6 linked regions of the Sus scrofa genome follow. The protein of the gene in region 2 interacts with the protein of the main gene of each other region in a pairwise test. Links are inferred from orthologs where the notes say so. Each region holds a gene or a part of one and is shown on either strand. Other genes may lie near its edges. The genes, in order: BEX5, EMILIN1, IFT20, MTMR9, PLAC9 and ZC2HC1C.

Region 1 (4,189 bases), on a different chromosome or scaffold from region 2:
ACAGGAAATCCCCATGTGTTGAATTTGATATATAATGCTTTCTCCATTGTGTTCCTTTTTCAGTTGTAAGCTCCAGTCTACAGAGAAAGAAAGTTACTTGCTCACAAGTGATCAGAGACAAACCTGGGCCCAGATTGCAGGACTTTTCACTCAGCTATAGTTAATTGTTGTGCCCTCATACAACTTATCACACCCTATGCTATGCACTGAGGGTACCAGGACAAATAGGACAATATATTTACTGTGAGAAGGGCAGTCTAGGTAAGAAGCAGTGATGACTGCGTGGTGGAACCTGTCCAAAACCAAGGGTCCATCTACCAGATCCCCAGTCTTGGCATGATTTTAAATGAGATGGTACATCTACAGACTGCTTTTTAACCTGCTTTATTAGCTTTACCATATGGAATAGACATCTTCCCATGCAAGTTGATCAATCTCCCCCGCTGACAGAAAAACTTACAGACTAAGTCAAAAGTAAAAACAAAATCTCCAATCAGAAAAATGACAGAACACCAAAGGTTCGTAGTAAAAGGTACATCAAGAAAATGCAATTTTGGGAAGCAGGGGGGTTATGATTATTAACCTCAGCATTCAAGGCATAAGGCAAAACTCATCATGATGGTCATGGTGAGGAAGATCTCCAATAAGAATGCGCAGACTGTACCTCAACTGAAGCTCCCTAATTTTCCTCCTCAGCTCTCTCATCTCCTCCATGAACCTTTCCATATCATCTGCATCTCCATCTATCATGTCAATGTTATTGACAAGCCTATTGGGCAAATCCTCTCTAAAATCCTGGGCAGGTGGAACCCAGTCCCCTGGAACGTTTTCCCCAGGCCTCTGGCCTTCACCACCTCCAAAAGGGTGGGCTTCTTCATTCCGCATTTGAGCCTGCTCCTTTCCTTTGTTTTCCTTAGGAAAATTTTCCATCTTGAGATTTCTTTCCTGCTTCTTCTTCCTAGGAGACAAAAAGGAGGATTGAGTGCTTTGTAAATGACGGGATTCAGAGCTTTGTGGGCAAAGGCTTTCACACCAGATACTTCGTAGGCCCTCCAGGAGGCGCCCTAGATCCAGCCCTAACTCAAAGCCCATCATTTTCCCTAAAAATCCTTCCCTGGGCAACTCCTAGCACCAAAACGTAGGACAGGTTGTGGGCTGGACAGTGGTTGAGAGAGCAGGCCTTAGCTACCAGGGATCCTGGTAAGCTCTCCATGGGCACCCCAGAGCTTGTCCCTCTCCTCTCTTCCCTCACCAGCCACAGGTCCAGTTTCTAAAATCAGGTTTCTCCTGCACTTAACACAGGCAGGGAGGGCTGGGAGTCCTCCAGATTCTGTTCTGATTCCTGTTACCCCTACACTAGAGGGTCCAGGCACCCTCCATACCTGCAGGGATCAGAAGTAGTCTTCCTCTCTTAGCCTTGAAATCTGTTGCACCAGTGGACCTGCAGACAGAAATGCAGCAATGGCCAGGGCTGACCAATTGATTCAAGGACCAGTATCAGGGCACCAGCTCCATTGCTGTTGGTTTAGGACTCAGATAGTCAAATGTTGCTGCCTTCTCTTTCTCCACCTTCCTGTCTCACAGTTTCTTTTCCCACCCCATGATGTGCTACCCTGCCTTTCAGAAACAGGCATTGTAATAATAATAATAAATCATCACCTCCAAACTAGTTTCACCTCTTCTTTAGGCCCCTTATCTCCACTGTCTTGTCCTTCCCTTCTCCTAATTACCATTTATTGAACTCAAATGGACACTCTGCAGGGCTGGGGAGTCTGAAGAGCTTGCTAAGAGGTATGCGGTTTATTTATAAAGAATTTCAATCTGGGTACCTGCCTGGACCTTTTGGGACCCAGTGGCCTTCTGGAGCTCACTCTCCTTCCACTGCCCACCATTTTATGCATCAAGATGGATGAAGGGCGAAGAGGTAACGTGGGCATTGCAACCTGTAACTGCTGGGGCGTGACCACTTTGTCACTCTTACCCACAGGGTCCTCAGGCAATGCCCATGCTTAAACCGACTTGAAGGGACCAGAAACTGTTTCTGGCTCCCCAGCTATAGCCCTAAGTCGGTAGCTCGCCAGATCGAATGTTTTCTCCACAGAAGGGACTTGTTTCCCAGACCAAATCCCCGCCCCTATCGTCTGCTGCAGCCGCCTGGGTCCCCGCCCCCCTCCCCCGAGTTCCTGTAGCCCACCATTTCCGGCTCCAAAATGGAAGGAGGGTGGAGAAGCAACACCGGGAATGGAGTCCTATACCCGTTGCAGAGTTCGCAGTCTCCAACCCAGGTGACAGGTTGCGCGCCCCTCCTGTCGCCCTGCAGGATTCAGGCCGTTTCCTTGCAGTCCCCTTTTCTGGTCCTTCCCTTCCAGGTGTCGCCCGACCGCCCACCTCCTAAGAGATCCCATCTGGTAACCATTTTTAACCCTTGACCCCTCGATCTCCCACAAACCCTCCATTTCTTGCACAAAACAAGCGCATAGCGGGAAAGGGTTGCGTGACTCCAGTCCCGGACCCGCTCTTGTCTTTGCCCTCAGGCCCTCCGCTCCCTCCCCTTTGAGTGCCCGCCAACCTGCTGAGGATAGCTGTCAGCTTCTGAGGCTTCCTCCTTCCCAGGGTACAGGTTCGCCCGCCTTCAAGGCAATAGCAAGCTCGCGCACAGCCACAAAGAGCTACTGCCGGCAACTGTAAGGATGGAGTACTACAGGCGTACACTCCAGGTCTCTTAAGGGCTACGTCACCCTAAACTCAGGTCCCCAGTTGTGGTTGTACCTGCAGTGCGGCTGGGGATTGGGAGCGCGAGTGTGGGCGGGGCCACCTTCCTCCTCATTCCCTTCCTCTCCCTACCAAGACCCCTGGGTACTGCCCATCCCTTTGTATCTATTTATTTATCTATTTATTTATTTTCCTATTTAGCAATCTTTGACACCAAACGGGTCACAATATTTTGTCATTTGTATCTGCCTTTTCCCTGATTTCTGTCGAAGCTTTTAAAGAATTTCTTCTTCCTCTTCTATATTATTAAATGCCCACTCTCTCCCCTCCCCTCTCCAGCAAATAAAGCCTAGAATTTCCCCATCAGTCTTGTTGGTTTTGTCCCAGGCTGGAACCGGGGCGGGGGAGGTGAGGGGGACAAAGCTAGGAAGTCTGGAAAATAGATAAGAGGTAACATTAAAAAAAACAAACTTCACCTTAATTATTTCCCTGTTTATTTTACTTTTATTTTTTTCCGAAGGGGTGGGTGATTAATTTTGTTCAATTTCCCATTCGCATGATTTCATTTTTTTTTTTTTTTTTTGTCTTTTTGCCTCTGCTAGGGCTGCTTCCCGAGGCAAATGGAGGTTCCCAGGCTAGGGGTCGAATCGGAGCTGTAGCCACTGGCCTACGCCAGAGCCACAGCAACGCGGGATCAGAGCCACGTCTGCAACCTACACCACAGGTCATGGGAACGCTGGATCCTCAACCTACTGAGCAAGGACAGGGATCGAACACTGTAACCTCATGGTTCCTAGTCGGATTCGTTAACCACTGTGCCACGGCGGGAACTCCTGATTTCATTTTTTTTGTTTGTTTGTTATAATTAAACAATACAGTTAATTTCAGTTGAAAAATAAGATTCAGGTTCCAAAAACTTGGCAACCTGTTTCTGCTGCTGAATTATCCTATAAATGTAGACCCTCCGGACAGCACACTTACTGATCTTTTTTTTTGTCTTTTTCCCATTTCTTGGGCCGCTCCCGCGGCATATGGAGGTTCCCAGGCTAGGGGTTGAATCGGAACTGTAGCCACCGGCCTACGCCAGAGCCACAGCAACCCGGGATCCAAGCCGCGTCTGCAACTTACACCACAGCTCATGGCAACGCCGGATCATTAACCCACTGAGCAAGGGCAGGGACCCAACCCGCAACCTCATGGTTCCTAGTCGGATTCGTTAACCACTGCGCCAGGACAGGAACTCCCTTACTGCTCTTTTAAGGACTTTGAACTATAAACCTAAGCTGGTGGCTTCCCTTGTGAAGGGTCTCTGTGCATTCCTTTTATGAGATGAGGCAGTGCATCTGATGGAGTCTCGCTGGTGGATTTTCGGATCTTGAGAAGCTGTGACAAATTTATGGTCCCCTCGAAATTATATTTAAATTACATTAGTGCAAATTCACTTTACAAAAAGACTTCAGCATGGCCTCTAAAATAG
Region 2 (2,759 bases):
GAGCCATACAAGAAGTTTCCAAAGGACAAGGAAGGGGGTGGCTCCGCGGACAGGGTGATGGGGGCCCCTGCTGCCCATGCGGGATACTAGCTGGCAGAGCAGCACCCTGCCTCCGCCCACAGGCCTGTCCGAGCCATCAGGGGAGGGCGGGGAGCTGGGACCTGGCTCGTCTCTTGCGTCCCAAGCCATGGGACAGTGTGGGTCTGTAATTCATGTGGCACAGGGCAAGGAGAAAGGAGACGAGCTTAAAGCTAGGTTGTTGTGGGGTCAGGGGAAGAGAAAGAAAGGACTTGAAAGGGGTCCCCCCGACACCGAGCCTCCTCTTGTCCCCTCACCAGTGAGGTCCTTCAGACTGAGCTGGTGAAGCCGGTCCTCCAGGAGCAGCAGGGAGCTGTTGAGGGCACCGAGCCGCCTGCCCAGGCCGGCCTGCCCCCCCAGCAGCTTCTCCAGCAGGGCTGCCTGGGTCTGGCTGGTGCTGTTGGTTTCCCGTAGCCCGGCCCAGAGCCCAGCCACGTGTCTGGAAAGGCCTTCACGCAGGCCCTGCAGTCCCCCGGCCACCGTGTCCAACCGCTCACAGACTCCTTCCAGGCGGCCCAGTCGCCCCTCTAGGCTGGGGCACTGGCCGGCCTGGGCCTGTCCCTCTTCCAGGCCCCGGAAGCGCTCCTCACTCTCTGTAGCGTGCTCCGTGGCCTCCTGCTGCAGCCTGTTAATCTCAGAGATGATGCGGTCCTTGGTGGCTCCCAGGTCGGCCAGATCGGCACCCTGGCCCTCCACGGTGGTCTGGAGCTCGTGCAGCGAGTCGTTGAGCGAGCTGAAGGTGAGAATGACCTCGGAGAGCTCTCCTTGCAGGGCCTGGAGGGCTGAGCCCGAGCTGCCCCCGAACACGCTGAAGCCATCCAGAGGCCCGCGGCTTGGTCCCCCAACACCCGGGCCGGCCCCAGGGCCCCTCGGGGGTAACAGGGGGCAGGAGCAGCGCTCCACGCCATCCCGAAGGCGGCCCAGTTCCTCCTGGACACCACCGCAGGCCCCACAGCCCTCATCCCCTCGGGCCTGCAGCAGACCCTCCAGCTGGCCCAGCCGCGCGGCTGTGAGATTCTGCTGCAGCGTGAGCTCTGCGGCCGTCTCCTCCAGTGCATCAACGCGACCCTGGAGCTGGCCCACGACCCCCTGCAGCCCCTCCAGCGCGGCCTGCTGGGCCTCCCCAGCTGCTCCCACCTTGTGCAGGCCTGAGCCCACCAGCCCCAGCTGCCCCTCGGTGTCCAGCACCCTGCGCTCCAAGGCGCTGAGGATCTCACTGACCTGGGAGTCCTGCTCCCCTGGGGCCCCAGAGCAGAGCTGCCCACATGCCTGCACAGCCCCTGCCACCTGCTCTTCCAGCAGATCCAGCCGCCCCCCCAGCTCCCCGCTCACGTTGGCCAGCAGCCCCTCCAACTTCTCTAGTTGGCCCTGGGCAGCAGGTAGCCAGTGGCTCAGCCCCCCAGGACGCCGGGGCCAGCCCTCCTCCTGCTCCTCCGAGGGGCCCAGGGTGGAGTTGAATCGGTCCTCCAGGCGAGAGAGGCGGGAGGCTAAGCTGGTATAGCCTGGCGGGTGGCCCCCCTGCCCAGCTGCTCCTCCCAGGTTGGCGCCTCGTCGCCCGCTCAGCACCGTCACTGAGCCGGCCACTACATCCAGCCTCCGCTCCAGCTCGGCCAGCCGCCGGCCCAGCTCCGGAGGGCAGCATTCCTGAGGGGGCCAGCGGCCCAGGGCCTGCCCAGCGAGCTGCCGCTGCCGCTCCTCCACGGAGGCCAGGAGCTTCTCCAGGGCTCGCAGCCGCTCCCGGTCCTCCTGCTGCTGCCGGCGGAAGCCATCCAGCCCCGCCAGGCACACAGAGCAGGACTCCTGCAGCCGCTGCTCCAGCTCCCGCAGCACTTCCTCGCTGTGGCCGGGAGGAGCCGGGGTTGAGTCCAGGGCCCTGCCGCCACCACCACCACCGCTGCCACCACCACTGTGATGGTTGTTCAGATGGCCCAGCTCCTGGTCGTGGGTGGAGACGCGGTTGTCCAGGAGCTGCAGCTGCTGCTGGATCTCATTGAGGGTTTCGTGCACGCCCGGGCGGGCAGCTGCATCTGCTGGCTGCTGCCTCCCATTAAAGGCCGTCTCCACAGCCCTCTGGACATCTTCTGCCAGGCGCCCGCTCAGTCCCTGCAGGACACCCCGAAGGCCCTGAAGCTCCTTTGTCAGGCTCTGCACCTGCTCCTCCAGCTGCTGCACCTTCTCCGATTCCCCAGGACCTGGCGGAGAGGGAAAGGCATGATGAGGCGGGGGAGCTAGACCTCAGAGCTCAGGGCCCACCTCCTAGGAGCTGACCTCCCCAACTGCAAGCAGAGGGCAGAGGTCTCGGCTGATTTGGCCATTCCTTAGCTGGGTGACCTGGGCAAGAAAAGATGGAAGGAAGCTCCATGCACTGAATGCCTCTAAGCCAGCTGTCCACCACGGCTCTCTTCCCTCGCAGCTCCATTAGGCAGAGTCCATTAACCCTTTCCAATTCATGGACTGGGAAACAGAGGACCAGGGAGCTTAATTAACTGGGCCATGGCTATCAAGTTTTATACGTGGCAGAGACAAGTTTCAAACCCAGGTCATCCGTCTGAGCACCAAGCCCAGGTCCTTTCCACTGACCAGAGTGCCTCTAACTTTACAGAAACTGTTTCCACATTTGAAAAACGGGAATGACACTGTCACCCCCTCAGAGCAAGGGAAATGGGAATGTGGGGGAGGCC
Region 3 (2,299 bases), on a different chromosome or scaffold from region 2:
CATTTATACAGAAGTGTGTATATGCTACTCTCATCAAGAATTTTTTTGAGGTATAAATAACATATTAGTTTCAGGTGTACAACATAATGTGATGTTTGTATAGGAATTGTTATTTAAAATCTTGTTTTAATTATAGAACGCCTCCCCCAAAAGTCAAGCGTGCAGAAGGATGAGAGGCTAGTGAGCCAGGGTTCCAGGACAAGATTAGACAAAACATGCTGATCTTACCTTCATCTTCTCATTTTCTGCTTCTTTTGCAAGTTGATCAACAAGCTCAATTAAACCACCAACTATTTTCTGAAACTGGCCGATTTCTTTGAGAGAAAGAACAAAAAAGTGTTTTATCTTCTCAGCATCACCACTCTCCCTCAGCATTCCACTGGTGTAGGAAGGCAGGGCTAATTGTCCCTTCTAATTTGTCAAAAAAAGTTTGATATCTGCCACCCTTGGTCTGAACCTAGAGAAGGGTGGCTAGGTTCCCAGAGCTGGACTGGGACATACTTGGATCTTGAGTCCCCACTGGCTCAGGACATGAACGCTGCCTCTAGACAAACCACAGATCAGACACCAGATCTCAGTTAACAGTCGGGTGGGGGCTTTCCTTCTGTGACAAGAACTATTAAAAAACTCAAAGCATTTAAGGACATAATCACCCATTTGCCTTTTTTCAAAGTCCCTGGGTGTGGTGGAACCCCATGTTATTTAAGAATAAACTAAGGCCCAGAGGGTAGAACAACATGAAGCTATGAGAAGACTGGCCAGAGAACCCAAGCTACCTTCACCAGTCAAGCTCTCTGTATAGCCTATGGAGCCCCTGGGAGGCTCAGAAATCCCTGCCTAGCTCTGCTCCATATTCACTGCTACTGCATGTGCCTGGCTGCTGGGACAGGAGCCATTCTGGCTATCTCAAGCTAAAAAAAAAAAAGACTTCATTGAGTCTGTTGAACTGCCTTTAGAAACTCAGTTAATCAACTTTTACTCCAAATAATGGCAAGTCTGCCACCAAGAACACTATTTCTCCCAAGAAATCAAATCATAACTCCATTTCCCACCCCTAAGACACAGTTCTGAAGTTTTAAGGTTCTTGAGCTGGCAGATCTAAACAAACACCCTCCTCTCCCCATGGCAGTGTTTATTTTGATTGGTGCTCTGAGATTGCAGGAGAGCAGAAGAGGGCAGGCAGCCAAGGTGGGTAGAATATGGGATTCATAAAGGCCAGGGCCAAGAGCTGCAGTCAGGGGTGGGGGTGGGGCACAGTTGGAAGAGCTCCAAGCTAAAGGCACCGTGTCTCCCCACACGACACTCACTGTCGACAAAGTCCTTGCACTCTTCTTTGAGCTCTATGGTCTGCTGGGTAACCTCTGGGTCCAACACCCGCAGCTTGTTCAGTTCATCAAAGTGCAGCCCTGCTTCACCCAGGATATCCTTGGCCATAGCTGTAAAGAAACCAGCCCCAATCCCGATCACTTCCCAGCCACCCAAGGAAATGCCTGCTTCTAGCCCAGCCCCCAGTCCTGGCCCCGGACACCAGAGTGAGAAACCCAGAGGCTCCAAAGGCTTCCCCTTCCCTCTGCCTCCGCCTCTCTGAGTCTCACCTGTTTCCCTTCCGGCTTCCCTAGAGAAGTTCTGCTCTGAAGGGGTGACAGTAGCAGCCAGGAGGAGGTATGTCATAGGAGCAAGGGTCAGGAAAGAATAAAGTCCGGTTGCTTGTCACAGGCATCGTTCACTGAACACACATTTCTTGAGTGCCTACTACATGCCAACACTGCTAGATGCTGGGGGCAAAGATGAGTGCAACATGGTGCCCGCCCTGGAGGAGCACAGAGTTTAGCTGGAGGAAGACAGACATATGCACTGAAAAATCATACCATGTTAAGTGCGTTTACAGGTACATCACTAAAGTGCTGGAGGAGACCAGAACAGCTAACTTGGGGTAAGGAAGTGATACATGAACTGAGTTGTGAGCCATAAGTATATTCATGTATCCCCAGTTATGAACCCAAAAGGACATAAAAGAGCTTTTCGAATGCAGTACTGGAACAATACGAAAAGCAAGTAAAAGAGAAAATCTGAGTGAATTAAAAATTAGGGGTAAAAAAAAATAAGAAGCCAGGTGTAAGAATTTTGCCCCCAATGTATGCCACAGGTACAATGGCCTGAACTGGGACCTAAAGTTGAGTCAGTCTTTTTCCAGCAGAAAACACAAAAAGGAATGACGTATCCACAAGAACATACCAAGTACGGAGGTCAAGGAAAGGCATTCCGAGCAGAGAAAACAGCCTGGACAAGAGCATGAAGC
Region 4 (3,500 bases), on a different chromosome or scaffold from region 2:
TTACTTACTGTTCCATAAAAATCTTTCTTTATAAATAATTACTCAAAATGTAAAAACAGACCTTAGGTTAGATGAATTAAAATTAGAGCATACTACAGATAACTAGGCTATATATCCAATATATATCAGAAGCCCTAAAATATTTGCCCATACCCTTTAGTCTAGTCATTAGATTTCATCCTAAGAATGGGATTGTTAACCAGAAGTGAACATCAGGGAGTCTTGTTTTCAAATTAAGAACTCTAGAATAATTCAGCAAAAGACAAAAAGCTAAGTATACCACCTACAATGTAGGAAAAATTCGCAGTGACCTAAATGTCCAACTATAGGATTAAGTATGTTGTAGTTTATTACTTAATAGAGTATTATGTAACTATTAATACAGTACTTCTATAGATGACATAGAAACATGGGAAAATGTTTATAATAAAAATGGAAATAATAAGTTACCTTTCATTATAGCTGTGCTAAAGTATAAAGTATATCTGTACATGGGGAAGGAATCCCACCCCCCCCGTCTTTTTGCCTTTTCTAGGGCTGCTCCCTCGGCAATATGGAGGTTCCCAGGCTAGGGGTCGAATCGGAGCTGTAGCCACCAGCCTACGCCAGAGCCACAGCAACGTGGGGTCCGAGCCGCATCTGTGACCTACACCACAGCTCCTGGCAACGCTGGATCCTTAACCCACTGAGCAAGGCCAGGGATCGAACCTGCAGCCTCATGGTTCCTAGTCAGATTCTTTAAACACTGAGCCATGACGGGAACTCCGGGAAGGAATTAATAGTAGTAGACAAACATGAAACTTACAGGAAAGTAGTGAGCTTATTTTCCTTTTCCCACAATTTCCTTCACTGTCACTTCAATAAAAAGAGGAGAGGGGAGAAGATGTAGTTAATTTAGTTTTCAGTGTTTCCTTTCATTCTTTAGAATAATGGAGTTCCAGACACTTCATACAGCGTGTTGTGATAGTATCATTGCCACTGACTTTCTAGATTGACAGTTTTATATATATATGTAAAAAAATTTTTCTTCCTATTTTCATGTTTCTCAAAGTGTGTTTCAGGACTTGTTTTCCAGATTCATTACAGTTTATGAAGGCAGTCTTTACAGTAAGCTGATGGCAGAAAGGTAGAAGCAAGGTCAGAGAGATACAGAAAAATAATTGTTTCTCAGTTTGATGAGAAAAGGCTTTAGTCAACTATTAAAGCAGAAAATGTCAGTGCCTACTGAGTTTGATAAGGTCTGCTTTGTGGTTTTGTAAAGAAAGAAAAAATCAAGCTAAATGGTTCTATGAAATTTGTTACAAATAAACAGGTTCTCGCCATGTGAAATTTGGGACTTATTATAGTTTCATATTTTCCCCAAGGGACACTCTCCTCATATTCCTTATTTAGCCTCTAAGCCCTACTGGACAGAGCAGAATGCAAGACTGTGAAATATTGGGCTCAAACATGTTATTAACAAGAGTTGTTGACCATGTTGGGAGTGTCCCATCTGTACTCTGGGTTTTCCTATCAGGGAAGGAGCATCCATATTGATTCATGGAACAGAAGGAACTGATTCCACACTTCAGGTTACGTCCCTGGCCCAGATCATCTTGGAGCCAAGAAGCAGGACCATCCGTGGCTTTGAGGCCTTGATAGAAAGAGAGTGGCTGCAGGTGAGAAAAATGGCTTGCTCACACTTGATGTTTGATCTGGTTTGTTGGAAAGGACATAATATATGGAATTCTGATTGATTCAAATGTTTAAATTGTATGTTTAATTTTCTGGGGGGACAGTTCATCTTCCTCTTAGTTAATGTCTAATCTTTTTGCCTCCCTCTTTGCTCACATTGTTCACTTGGCGCTTCATTCCCCTAAGAAACCCGTATCAGTTGTACTTTTACATTCTTTGTGTTTCCCCTGTAGGTAACATAGTCTTGTCTTGCTAGAGATAAAAGTCATAAATGAGGTGGGGAGGAGGAGTGGGGACTTGTAAATATGCGGCGGCAGCATGTGCTTTAGCATTTTCTACCTTCTGCCTGTCTGGCTCCATCCCGTTGTCTTCCCCAGCCATGTGAAATCCTTCTCATCCTTTAAGATCCAGCTAAATGTCGCTGCTTTCATGAAGTCTTTGGGACCCTGACTTCCTTCACGGATAAAATTGACCCATTTTCCTCACACCTTGTTTCCTGAACTATACCCAGACACAGTGACAGAGAAGTCAGGGAGCCTTGCCGAATTCAGCTGTTTATCCCTAGGATACCACACAGTGCTGTCATATTTAATGCTGAAGAACAGCTAAAATAAAGGTGTCATAAAATAGATTTAAATCTTCCAAGCTGGAGTTTAACTTATAGATGTATATATACTGTGTTAACTTACTATATATATTGCGATTGAAAATAATGTTTAGATATATCTTGAAAGTATAAGTACCTTTGGAGAAAAATCATTTCTGGCCCTTCTGGTTACAGTTTGGGTTTATTATGTATTAATACTGTTATGTTTACTGAGTCTACCCACTCTGACAACTAACCTTTATGTCTAAGTCAGACCGTCCTAAATATTTCATGCAAATCTTATTCAGCTACATTCCATGTGATGCACAGCAGACAAATGAGTATGATTTACTTATTAACATATTACCATTTTCATGGGTATCAAAATCCCATTCACATTCATGCTATTAGCTTTACCAGATAAAGTGGTATGAGGACCCAAAGATAAAGCAGGCCTGTTTAAAACCCAGAAGGGTGTGACTCTTGGGATAAACTCGGGTTCTAGATGGGCCAGAGAGCCTAATGGTTCTTAAATTTCCTTTGGTCAGTAGATGGCAGCCTCTTCCAGGTCCTTGTAGAAGGAGAGGGAAACTAAGGACAGCTTGGTCTGTAATATAAAAGTATTCACACAGATGTCTCCATGACATAACTTTTTTTGCATGTAATTAAAAGTTCAATATCAGGAGTGACCTGTTAAATTTGTCTGTGAGAACCCCTTGTTTATCTCCATTTAGTGGTGAGGCTTACACAGCTCACAATGATCTGCAGTGCTTTGGCTGGACAGAAGAGGATAGCTGTCCTTTGTTTCATACCGCAAGAGCTCATGTTCTTTGACTTTGCTCCAGATTTCATAGACCTCGAAAGATTTATGTTTATTATCGCTGAAGTTCATTATCCTTCTATTTGATATACCAAGAACAACTGCAGTTCTCATGGCTAACTGCATAGGCTAGTAAGGTATTTGGAAATTAATGTCTTTTCCCTTAGGTGCTGAAGATTGTCTTAAACTACGAAATCCATTAAAGAGCAGCCACCAAAAATATATGATGTTCCATTTAATAATAGTTTTGATGCAGCCGTGTGAAATGTGTTAACAGAATGTGCTATACTGTGATCCCACCAGGACATGACTGTCACATTTCCATCTCTCCTCTTAGGCTGGTCACCCATTCCAGCAGCGCTGTGCACAGTCAGCCTATTGTAACAGCAGGCAGAAGTGGGAGTCACCTGTATTTCTTCT
Region 5 (3,500 bases), on a different chromosome or scaffold from region 2:
ATGCTCCACCGTCTTCTCCACCGTCTAGAGCAAGGAGAGGGGTGGGGAGGAGCAGAAGACAAGAGTGGTGCCAAGCCCTGCTTAATCAGCCACATCCTAAGGAACACTTGGCAGTCCAGTTGGGGGGTGCTGTGGGGAAAGAACTGGGTGCCAAGGCACCTGGGTCCTCCTAATTCAGGCTCTGCCCTGGCCTGCCTCTCAGTTTCCCAGATGACAAAATCCTAGGGGCTCACTCTCTAAGGCCACTCCTGGCTCTCCACACAGTGATTTCATTCAGTCTCTGGTTCTTCATGGGGGGACTTTGGGATTCCTTTTTCTCTTTCAAGACTTCACTGCTGTGAGTTCACGTTCCTTTTGTTGCCCTGCCCCCTCGTGGCAATTCTGCCAAATGACAGTTTGGGGATTTCGAAATTTTCTTTATGGGGGTTCTTTTCTTGTGAATGAACCCCATTAGCAGTCTGGTAAAACCTACAGACCCTCCCACTGGAAAAACGCTTTCATCAAAAAAATAAAACATAGGATTTCCAAGGACATCAATTTAATTAAAATATTATTAAAGCATTAAAAATAAAATTTATTTAACAACTTATTTAAGTAGCAAGTCTAACAACTACTGAAATTTTGACATACCAATTAGAATAAATGATATGTTGAGATATACACAATGACTATAATGTGATTAAATTAGCTGATTTCTACTGATGACAAAGTCATAGTACTGTTAATATTACTATGATTTGTTGTCTACATTTATAATGAATGAGAATACTAAATTTCAGTGAAAGCTTTCTGAAAATAAAGTGCAATTTTTTCCCCACAGTAGTTATGGACGCCAGGTTACAAACTGTGGCTGGATAACAAAACAGTGACTGAATTTCAAACTTCTTGTCCAGATTATGCAGAGATCTCTGGCTGGAGATAAGTAAAGCCTGGGGCGGGAGGGAAGCAGAGTTTGTTGGGGGCCCGTGAGCCTAAAAGCCCAGGTAGAGCAGGGAGATGTTTAATATGGTGGCCAGGGAGCAGGATTGGCCTAGGTTTCCTCAATCTTCCCAAGCAAGTTTGGCCTGAGCCCTCCAAAGCCACCAGCCTGGCAGGTGGTTCTGAAGCTGCAAGTCCCCCCAGGTCACCCTCATTACCTCCTCTATGACGTTCAATCGGCTGTGGATAGCCATGTATCTGTCACATGCTGTGCTCCGAGACGGGTCTCCTCCAGAGGGGATGAAGGGTTCAGCAGCTGTGGGAAAACAAGTCTTGTCACTATGGGGCCCTCACTTTCCCTGTAACACTGGAGACTCCTGCAAAGTACTGGGCTCAGGAGAGGTGGTTCCTGAAAACTGTCCAAGGAGAGGCAGAGGAAGGCACAGGGTGGGTCAGCATACAAGTGTGGGGCTGCCCCAATCACTCCCTTGTCTCTAAGACCCGTGGTCATCTACAGACCCAAGTGGGCTTCCTCAAGGAGGTGCTGCCTGAACAAGTAAGGTAAGGAAGGGATCTACCAGGGGCCCTAATAAACCAATCATGATGCTTGTTTAGGGGTTTATTTTAATAGAAGAATCACATAGTCATATATGAATTTTTAAAAATACAGAGAATGGATTGGAGCGATTTGTCTTTGAGGGCAGGAAGTTACCAGTTATCAGTGTAAAAAGTGATGAAAGGAGACAGGAGCCATAGGAAGAAAATGCATGGAGATACTTTACTAAGAGCACAGACACTGGTGAACAGTTAGTAACATCTGACATTTGACCAGTACTCACTATGTACCACACAAGGTGCTAAACAACAACCAATTATCCCCAATTTACACATAAGGAAATCGATGCACAGAGGAATTAAATGCATGTCCAGTGTCACACAGCTAGTAAGCGGAAGATCTGAGGTTCACCCTGTTCAACTCCTGACTCATTTTCTTACTTAACAATGGTTCCTCCTTGGATATTTCTGGCACCACCAACCCTCACACGGAAGTCTGAGAGCCCCAGTTTTTGCTTGTTTCATCTTTTTAGGGCCACACCCCTGGCATGTCGAAGTTTCCAGGCTAAGGGTCAAATTGGACCCCTAGACCTACGCCACAGCAATGCCAGATCAGAGCCTCATCTGAAAGCTACACCACAGCTCATGGCAACGCCAGATCCTTAACCCACTGAGCAAGGCCAGGGATCGAACCTGCATCCTCATGGAAGCTAGTCAGATTTGTTTTTGCTGAGCCATGACAGAAACTCCTGAAAGCCCCAGTTTTGAGCTCAGGTTGCAGTGTTGGAGGCTCCTAGATGCTCTGGGGGCATCTGAGTTGGCTGGAACTTTGGAGCACATGGACACTCAGGAAGGAGGATACTGCCCAGAAACAAGAAGCAAAGAGATTTAAAGAGGATGAAACATTAGTACGGCCTAAAGCAGAAGGGAGGTATAGCACAACAAAGATTGAAAAACAGAGCAACAGAAAAGTTAATGCAGAATTGCACCCCCAGTACTGTCAGCAGAGAGATGGAAGCAGAGCAAAGTCTAGACCCTGGTGGGATGAGAAGGGAAGGATAGATCAGAAGAGAAACTTAGATCCTGAAAAATATTTCCATGAAGCTTGGCTGTGAAGGAAGGGAGATCAGATCACAAGGTCTAGAGAAGTGTTCATTGTGGTTGTTTCCAGGTTTTTTAATGATGAAGAAAATAAACCATGCTTATAGTCCGAGGACAGGCAGAAGACAGGAGAACAGAAAGAATGCATTTCCTGAAGACACGTGAGGCCTGGAATCCAGAAATGGTGGTAGGGGCCCAGGGCAACACATGGAGGGAAGAGAGAGGACATGCAGCAAAACTGGGCACAAAAGTTCTGCCTAAAGGGCCAAGAAGTTGAGTGAGTCCCATTTGACGGGATCTCTTCACTTGGTAAAGTAAGAGGTGAACCATCTGTTGAAAATTCATATAGAATTAGGAAAGAGGAGAGTTATTTGTAAAACGTTCAGGAATTCTGAGTGGATTGTTAGATATAGCCACCAAAGTGGGAGTCACCCTGAGAGTATTTCCACTGTGGAAACTGACAAATGCTTTATTTTCTGAGAGCAATGTGGGCATCTGAAGCAGAGTAGGGGTAAGAGTTATTAGACTTGATCTTTGTAGACACAGAACTCTTATAACTCTCAGACGCTCAGTATTGGCTGGGATGGCCCAAGGGGACTTTATATAAAGTTGCCCAGAAGATTGGCAGGTCTTAAGGTAAGGACAGAGAGGGGAGCCATTTTGCTAGTGATGAATGTGTAACTCTTGACTTGCCCAAGGTCACACAGTCAGCAAATGACTGGACTCCAGGCACCCTGGCCTTCTCCTGGCCCCACCTCAGCAAGATGACCTTCTGGAGCTCTACAGAATCTCCATGCCCTGATGTTTCCTGGTCTATCTGGATCCCAACACTTCCACTCAGGGGATTTTTTTTTCAGAGAAGTCTTTCAGAGTTCCATAACTGAAATAGAGAGGGAATGCTATGAGATCTTGGCTTTACTTCAAAA
Region 6 (4,225 bases), on a different chromosome or scaffold from region 2:
GGTACCTCATATATTTACTAAGAAGTTTCATCAAAGTTAATTGAAAAAGTATAGTTCTAGGAGTGGTAACAGGTCCTAATCTTGGGAGGTGGCAGGGTATATTGCAAAGTGTGAGGAATTCTCTGGGAGTGCTGAAACACTGCATAATTTTTTTCTTTATATTTTTCATGTCTTAAATTTTCTAAAATGTTTACTACTTTTATAATCAAAAGGACATATTTTTTAATTCTACATTTTGGAGTCATTCTGACCCAGATTTACATGCTGACTCTGCCATTAAAAGCTATTTGTGAACTCAGACAAGTTAACCTGAGACTAAATTTTGAAACTGATAAAGAGATACTGAAATCTTCCCAGGGTTGTGGTGACAATATCACAGTGACTGGCACACAGTAGTAATCAATAAATGTTAATTCTCGCTTTCTCCCCACATGACGCATGACACATGACATTTTTCTAAAGAAAACAGATGAGGATATAACAGGCTCACACCCCCATTCAAAGGCAAATCATTAAAGGCCCTTGTTACCTTGACTGAGGCCGATCCCTTCCAGTTCAAGTACTGCTCTAGTTCTGTGCCCTTAGCCCGGGCCCTGGAGGAGTCAAAGACTTTCCTCTTGGAACCCCGCATCCTGCTGCAGACATTGGAGTGTCTCTCAAGTCTGAGCAAGAGAAATTTCCGTCCACAGTGGCTGCACGCACCCAGTTCTGGCTCTTCAGTGGAACAGCTGGAACCCAAGGAGTCTGGGGCCCTAGACAAGCTAGAATGGCAGGTAGATCTCTGCAAAGCACTGGGTGGCATTTCTGAAGCCTGAGAAAACTTCTCCTTCAGCGGCCCTGAGACTCGGTCTCGGATTTGGTTATTGCTTGCCATCAGTCCTTCCCTTTTGAGCTTCTGAATTCCATGATCAGAGAACTGGAATGGACTAGAATTTTCTTGAGACCGTCCCCAAGTTTCATCGTCTCCTACATCTCTACTGAAGACCTCCGCAGACTTGAATTCTGGGGAGAAGATAGGTTTGTGTGAGGTGTTACTCTTGCCTTTAACTCTCCTCCTGGGTAGTGCCATTCTCCTCTGTAGCTCTCTTTTTTCATTTTCTTCAGCCTGTTCTTTCTTCTTCTGGATCCTTCTGAGTTCCTCCTCTGTCTTCTTCAGCTTTTCCCTCAGGAGAGTCTCTTTTCTTCGGATTTCCTCCTCTAAACTCTCCCCTGCAGCTTCTAGTCTTTGGATCTGCATCCATTCCATCCTGCTGGGGTTTGCCACAACCCTCTCCTCCTGAGTGGCAGCAACGGAACCAACCACAGATGAATTCACCCAGTTCCTTGAACCAAAACTGCTGTATGAGAGCTTTCTTGGCTGATGGGATCTTAGAGAGACATTCTGGTCCCCATCAGTGCCAGCCTCACCTGTACTACGGGACTTCCGGTGAAACACAGGTTTCAGTGGGTATGCTCGGTCCACCCCAACTCGCTTCTTTGTAAAGGGGATGAATTCCTGGATATTTGCTTTGGGATACTGGGATTGAGGGCCTGATGAGTAAAACAAACCTTTTCTCGAATCTTGCTGGCTTATTTCAGCACAGTGGGGATAGGAGCAGCTCCAGGCTTTCATGCTGGTGTTCCATTTGGGGTGAGTGTAGAGCTTATCTAGTGTCAGCTCTTTGTTGCTCAAAAGCTCCTGCTGGAAATTATTCCTCAGGTGCCCCATAGAAGACCGCTGGGAAGAGTCACCTTTTTCATAGGGATCTTGCTTAACTGAATGGAGCTCTGGAGCTTCCCTTTTATTATATGGGAACATAATGCCCACAGGCAGAGTCAGTGCCAACTGGAGGCCAGCCATTCAGGGCTTGGACAGAAGCCTAGGGGAGATTTAAACCAGACATATGTGAGGAGTTTGTCTGAGGTTCATCTCAGCTGTGAAAGTAAACTATTTCTACACTTGTCTTACCCACAGTTTCCCTTAGACTTTTTAGGGACAGTGCTGCTAGGTCTAGCATTTGATAAGCGCTTATTATGTCCTATGGGTGCTTATTAGGTCCTAAGGATAGAAAAAGGGAATGTGATACAGGTGTTCCTGCCACCTAGCTTTCCTTTATATATATCATACATAGTGATGCTCCTGCTTACACAGTATACTCCGTAGCAGGCGGAATGAGCTATTGGGCTGAAAGTCAGTTTTCAGTCAGGACAAGCAGCATCCCCTCGCCGGCTCCAGTTTCTTCACCAGTAAACTGAGGGGTTCACTTAAGAGTTAGATGGCTGGAACTTAGGGACCTTAGGACTCCAAGTCCCGCTCCACCATTTTACAGGTAGAAAACTTCAGCCTGTTGGTAAGCAACTGGCACAAACTGCTCTCAGGACTTCCCGCCTGCTGGAACCGTGCTGGACCCCAAAGTGCAGAGAGCCGGCTCAAGGCCTGCAGCAAGTGCCTGGCTGGCAAACCCTCTCGCAAGGTGTCCTCGCAGCGCAGATGGCGGAAGGTCGGTAACCTGAGAGGCGGAGAACACCTGATCTGGCGGGGTTCATATCCGGAACGCATAAGTCCTGTTCTGTCCTGGAGGGTCAGCCGGGTAGCCCCACTGGAAACTCTGCTTTAGGGACAAGTGCTCGCTCTTCAGTCTCTCGGGCCCTTGGGAGGTCGAGGTGCTGACCCCATATCTTCCCGCCCTTCCGCGTACCTGTTCTAGCAGACGGCTCCTGCTCAGGGGAAACCCCAGAATTTAGTTTTCCAGACCACACACCACCCTCCCAACCGCCCGCCGCCGTGCAGGCGCTGTTGGCGGGCCTCTGTTATTCCTGTTGCCTGGAGACCGAAGCGCATGCGCACCCAGTCCCGCCACGCCCCGAATTCCACCGGAGAAGCGTGCGCAGCCGCAGTCCGCACACCCGGGAGTCGCCCGGTCGCGGGCGCGGTCAACACGAGTGTCATTTGACCCGGTGTCCCACCAACTCTGCAGCTCCGTCCAGCCCTGCCCTTAGGGAACGGGAGAAGAGGGTGGGAGAGGCTTTTCTGGGGCTCCATCAAAGGGCTTGTATTTTTTTTTTTTTCTCAGAGCGATGCTTTCAGGTCCTGGGGTGTGTCCTTCTCTGGCAAAAGATGGAGCGCCTTAGATGTGTCCTCAAGACCTGCCGCAGGATTCCGGTGTCCGCCCTCTTAGCCGCCGTGGGCATACTGATAGCTTTTCTTAGCACGCTCGGCTGCTTTGTACGGGCCCCAGGTACGGCTGTATACTGTCCATGGCTTTCCTTGCAAATAGTTTGGAGCTTGCGTCAAATTTTAGCAAATCGGCTAGGTTTTGCTACGCGGTGTCTTTTGCAGTATCTTTCCGGGGACGTTTTCGTAGCCAATCTAATTATTTGGATATAATGTTTTACTCTCACGTGGTAACTCTGATCCTCTCTTCTTGCGGCCAAAGAGTGACTCAACCAAGTGTAATGATAATAAAGTTAACTACCAGATCCAAAATACTCAATATAACCTGGTTTCAACACTAAAGATGCTCTGTAACTTGTTAACATCAGAAGAAGGTTTGTTTGTCTTTATGCTTCAATTCATTTGTGTAAGCTACTTGGAACAAGCAGCTTACTTTTTTCCCTGTAACTGCTTAAAAGATTCATGCCCATGGAGAACAATACGGACAGCAGTGGTCGGTGTTAATACTTTAATATGTCATATTACAGTTTTTACATGTTACGAAGAAATTCCTTGGTGGCACTCCAAGGGCAGTACTTTTATGCCTTGTTTTCTTTTCTAATTGACTCTCCACTGCCTTCTCTATGTATGCATTTCCAGACATTTCCCACTCTTCTCAAGGCCCTAATTATCTCAGCATGGGGCTTGTCTGTCATCAACTCCCTAAGCTCCCCTCCAGTCTGGCAGAATTTCCCAGGGTGCCTCCCTCCATTTTAACTTCTTTCGCTCCTGTTTCTGAGGAAGAAGAATCTTTTGTCTTTCCATGAAGTCTCTCTCTCTCTTTTGTTTTGTTTTGTTTTGTCTTTTTAGGGCTGCATACGCAGCACATGGCTGTTCCCAGGCTAGGGGTCAAGTCAGAGTTGTAGCTGCTGGCCTCCGCAACAGCCACAGCAACGCGGGATCTGATCTGAGCTACGTCTGCGACCTACACCACAGCTCACAGCAACGCCAGATTCTTAACCCACTGAGTGAGGCCAGGGATCGAACCCGCATCCATATGGATACTAGTCGGCTTCATTACTACTGAGCCAG

What was found.
Region 1: the proteins of EMILIN1 (region 2) and BEX5 interact in binary tests that used the Homo sapiens proteins (3 or more experiments, as listed by UniProt). The two-hybrid records come from large-scale screens. The link is inferred for Sus scrofa from reciprocal best matches to the Homo sapiens genes EMILIN1 and BEX5.
Region 3: the proteins of EMILIN1 (region 2) and IFT20 interact in binary tests that used the Homo sapiens proteins (3 or more experiments, as listed by UniProt). The two-hybrid records come from large-scale screens. The link is inferred for Sus scrofa from reciprocal best matches to the Homo sapiens genes EMILIN1 and IFT20.
Region 4: the proteins of EMILIN1 (region 2) and MTMR9 interact in binary tests that used the Homo sapiens proteins (3 or more experiments, as listed by UniProt). The link is inferred for Sus scrofa from reciprocal best matches to the Homo sapiens genes EMILIN1 and MTMR9.
Region 5: the proteins of EMILIN1 (region 2) and PLAC9 interact in binary tests that used the Homo sapiens proteins (3 or more experiments, as listed by UniProt). The two-hybrid records come from large-scale screens. The link is inferred for Sus scrofa from reciprocal best matches to the Homo sapiens genes EMILIN1 and PLAC9.
Region 6: the proteins of EMILIN1 (region 2) and ZC2HC1C interact in binary tests that used the Homo sapiens proteins (3 or more experiments, as listed by UniProt). The two-hybrid records come from large-scale screens. The link is inferred for Sus scrofa from reciprocal best matches to the Homo sapiens genes EMILIN1 and ZC2HC1C.

What each region holds. Positions count from the first base shown.
Region 1 is NC_010461.5:83,606,998-83,611,186, forward strand, and holds BEX5 (protein BEX5), read right to left. Parts: upstream 2,801-4,189; 5' UTR 2,570-2,800; intron 2,515-2,569; exon of another isoform or gene 2,195-2,514; intron 1,442-2,194; 5' UTR 1,383-1,441; intron 959-1,382; 5' UTR 931-958; coding exon 592-930; 3' UTR 369-591; downstream 1-368.
Region 2 is NC_010445.4:112,034,170-112,036,928, forward strand, and holds part of EMILIN1 (EMILIN-1), read right to left. Parts: intron 2,271-2,759; coding exon 336-2,270; intron 1-335. UniProt on the Homo sapiens protein: Involved in elastic and collagen fibers formation. It is required for EFEMP2 deposition into the extracellular matrix, and collagen network assembly and cross-linking via protein-lysine 6-oxidase/LOX activity.
Region 3 is NC_010454.4:44,611,385-44,613,683, forward strand, and holds part of IFT20 (intraflagellar transport protein 20 homolog), read right to left. Parts: 5' UTR 2,236-2,299; intron 1,832-2,235; 5' UTR 1,672-1,831; coding exon 1,596-1,671; intron 1,437-1,595; coding exon 1,308-1,436; intron 315-1,307; coding exon 229-314; intron 1-228. UniProt on the Homo sapiens protein: Part of intraflagellar transport (IFT) particles involved in ciliary process assembly. May play a role in the trafficking of ciliary membrane proteins from the Golgi complex to the cilium.
Region 4 is NC_010456.5:14,488,974-14,492,473, forward strand, and holds part of MTMR9 (myotubularin-related protein 9), read left to right. Parts: intron 1-1,516; coding exon 1,517-1,658; intron 1,659-3,417; coding exon 3,418-3,500. UniProt on the Homo sapiens protein: Acts as an adapter for myotubularin-related phosphatases. Increases lipid phosphatase MTMR6 catalytic activity, specifically towards phosphatidylinositol 3,5-bisphosphate and MTMR6 binding affinity for phosphorylated phosphatidylinositols.
Region 5 is NC_010456.5:81,891,910-81,895,409, forward strand, and holds part of PLAC9 (placenta-specific protein 9 precursor), read right to left. Parts: intron 1,235-3,500; coding exon 1,137-1,234; intron 25-1,136; coding exon 1-24.
Region 6 is NC_010449.5:98,263,827-98,268,051, reverse strand, and holds the start of ZC2HC1C (zinc finger C2HC domain-containing protein 1C), read right to left. Parts: upstream 2,801-4,225; 5' UTR 1,841-2,800; coding exon 530-1,840; intron 1-529. Other genes in the region: ACYP1 (acylphosphatase-1), read left to right, coding at 3,098-3,218.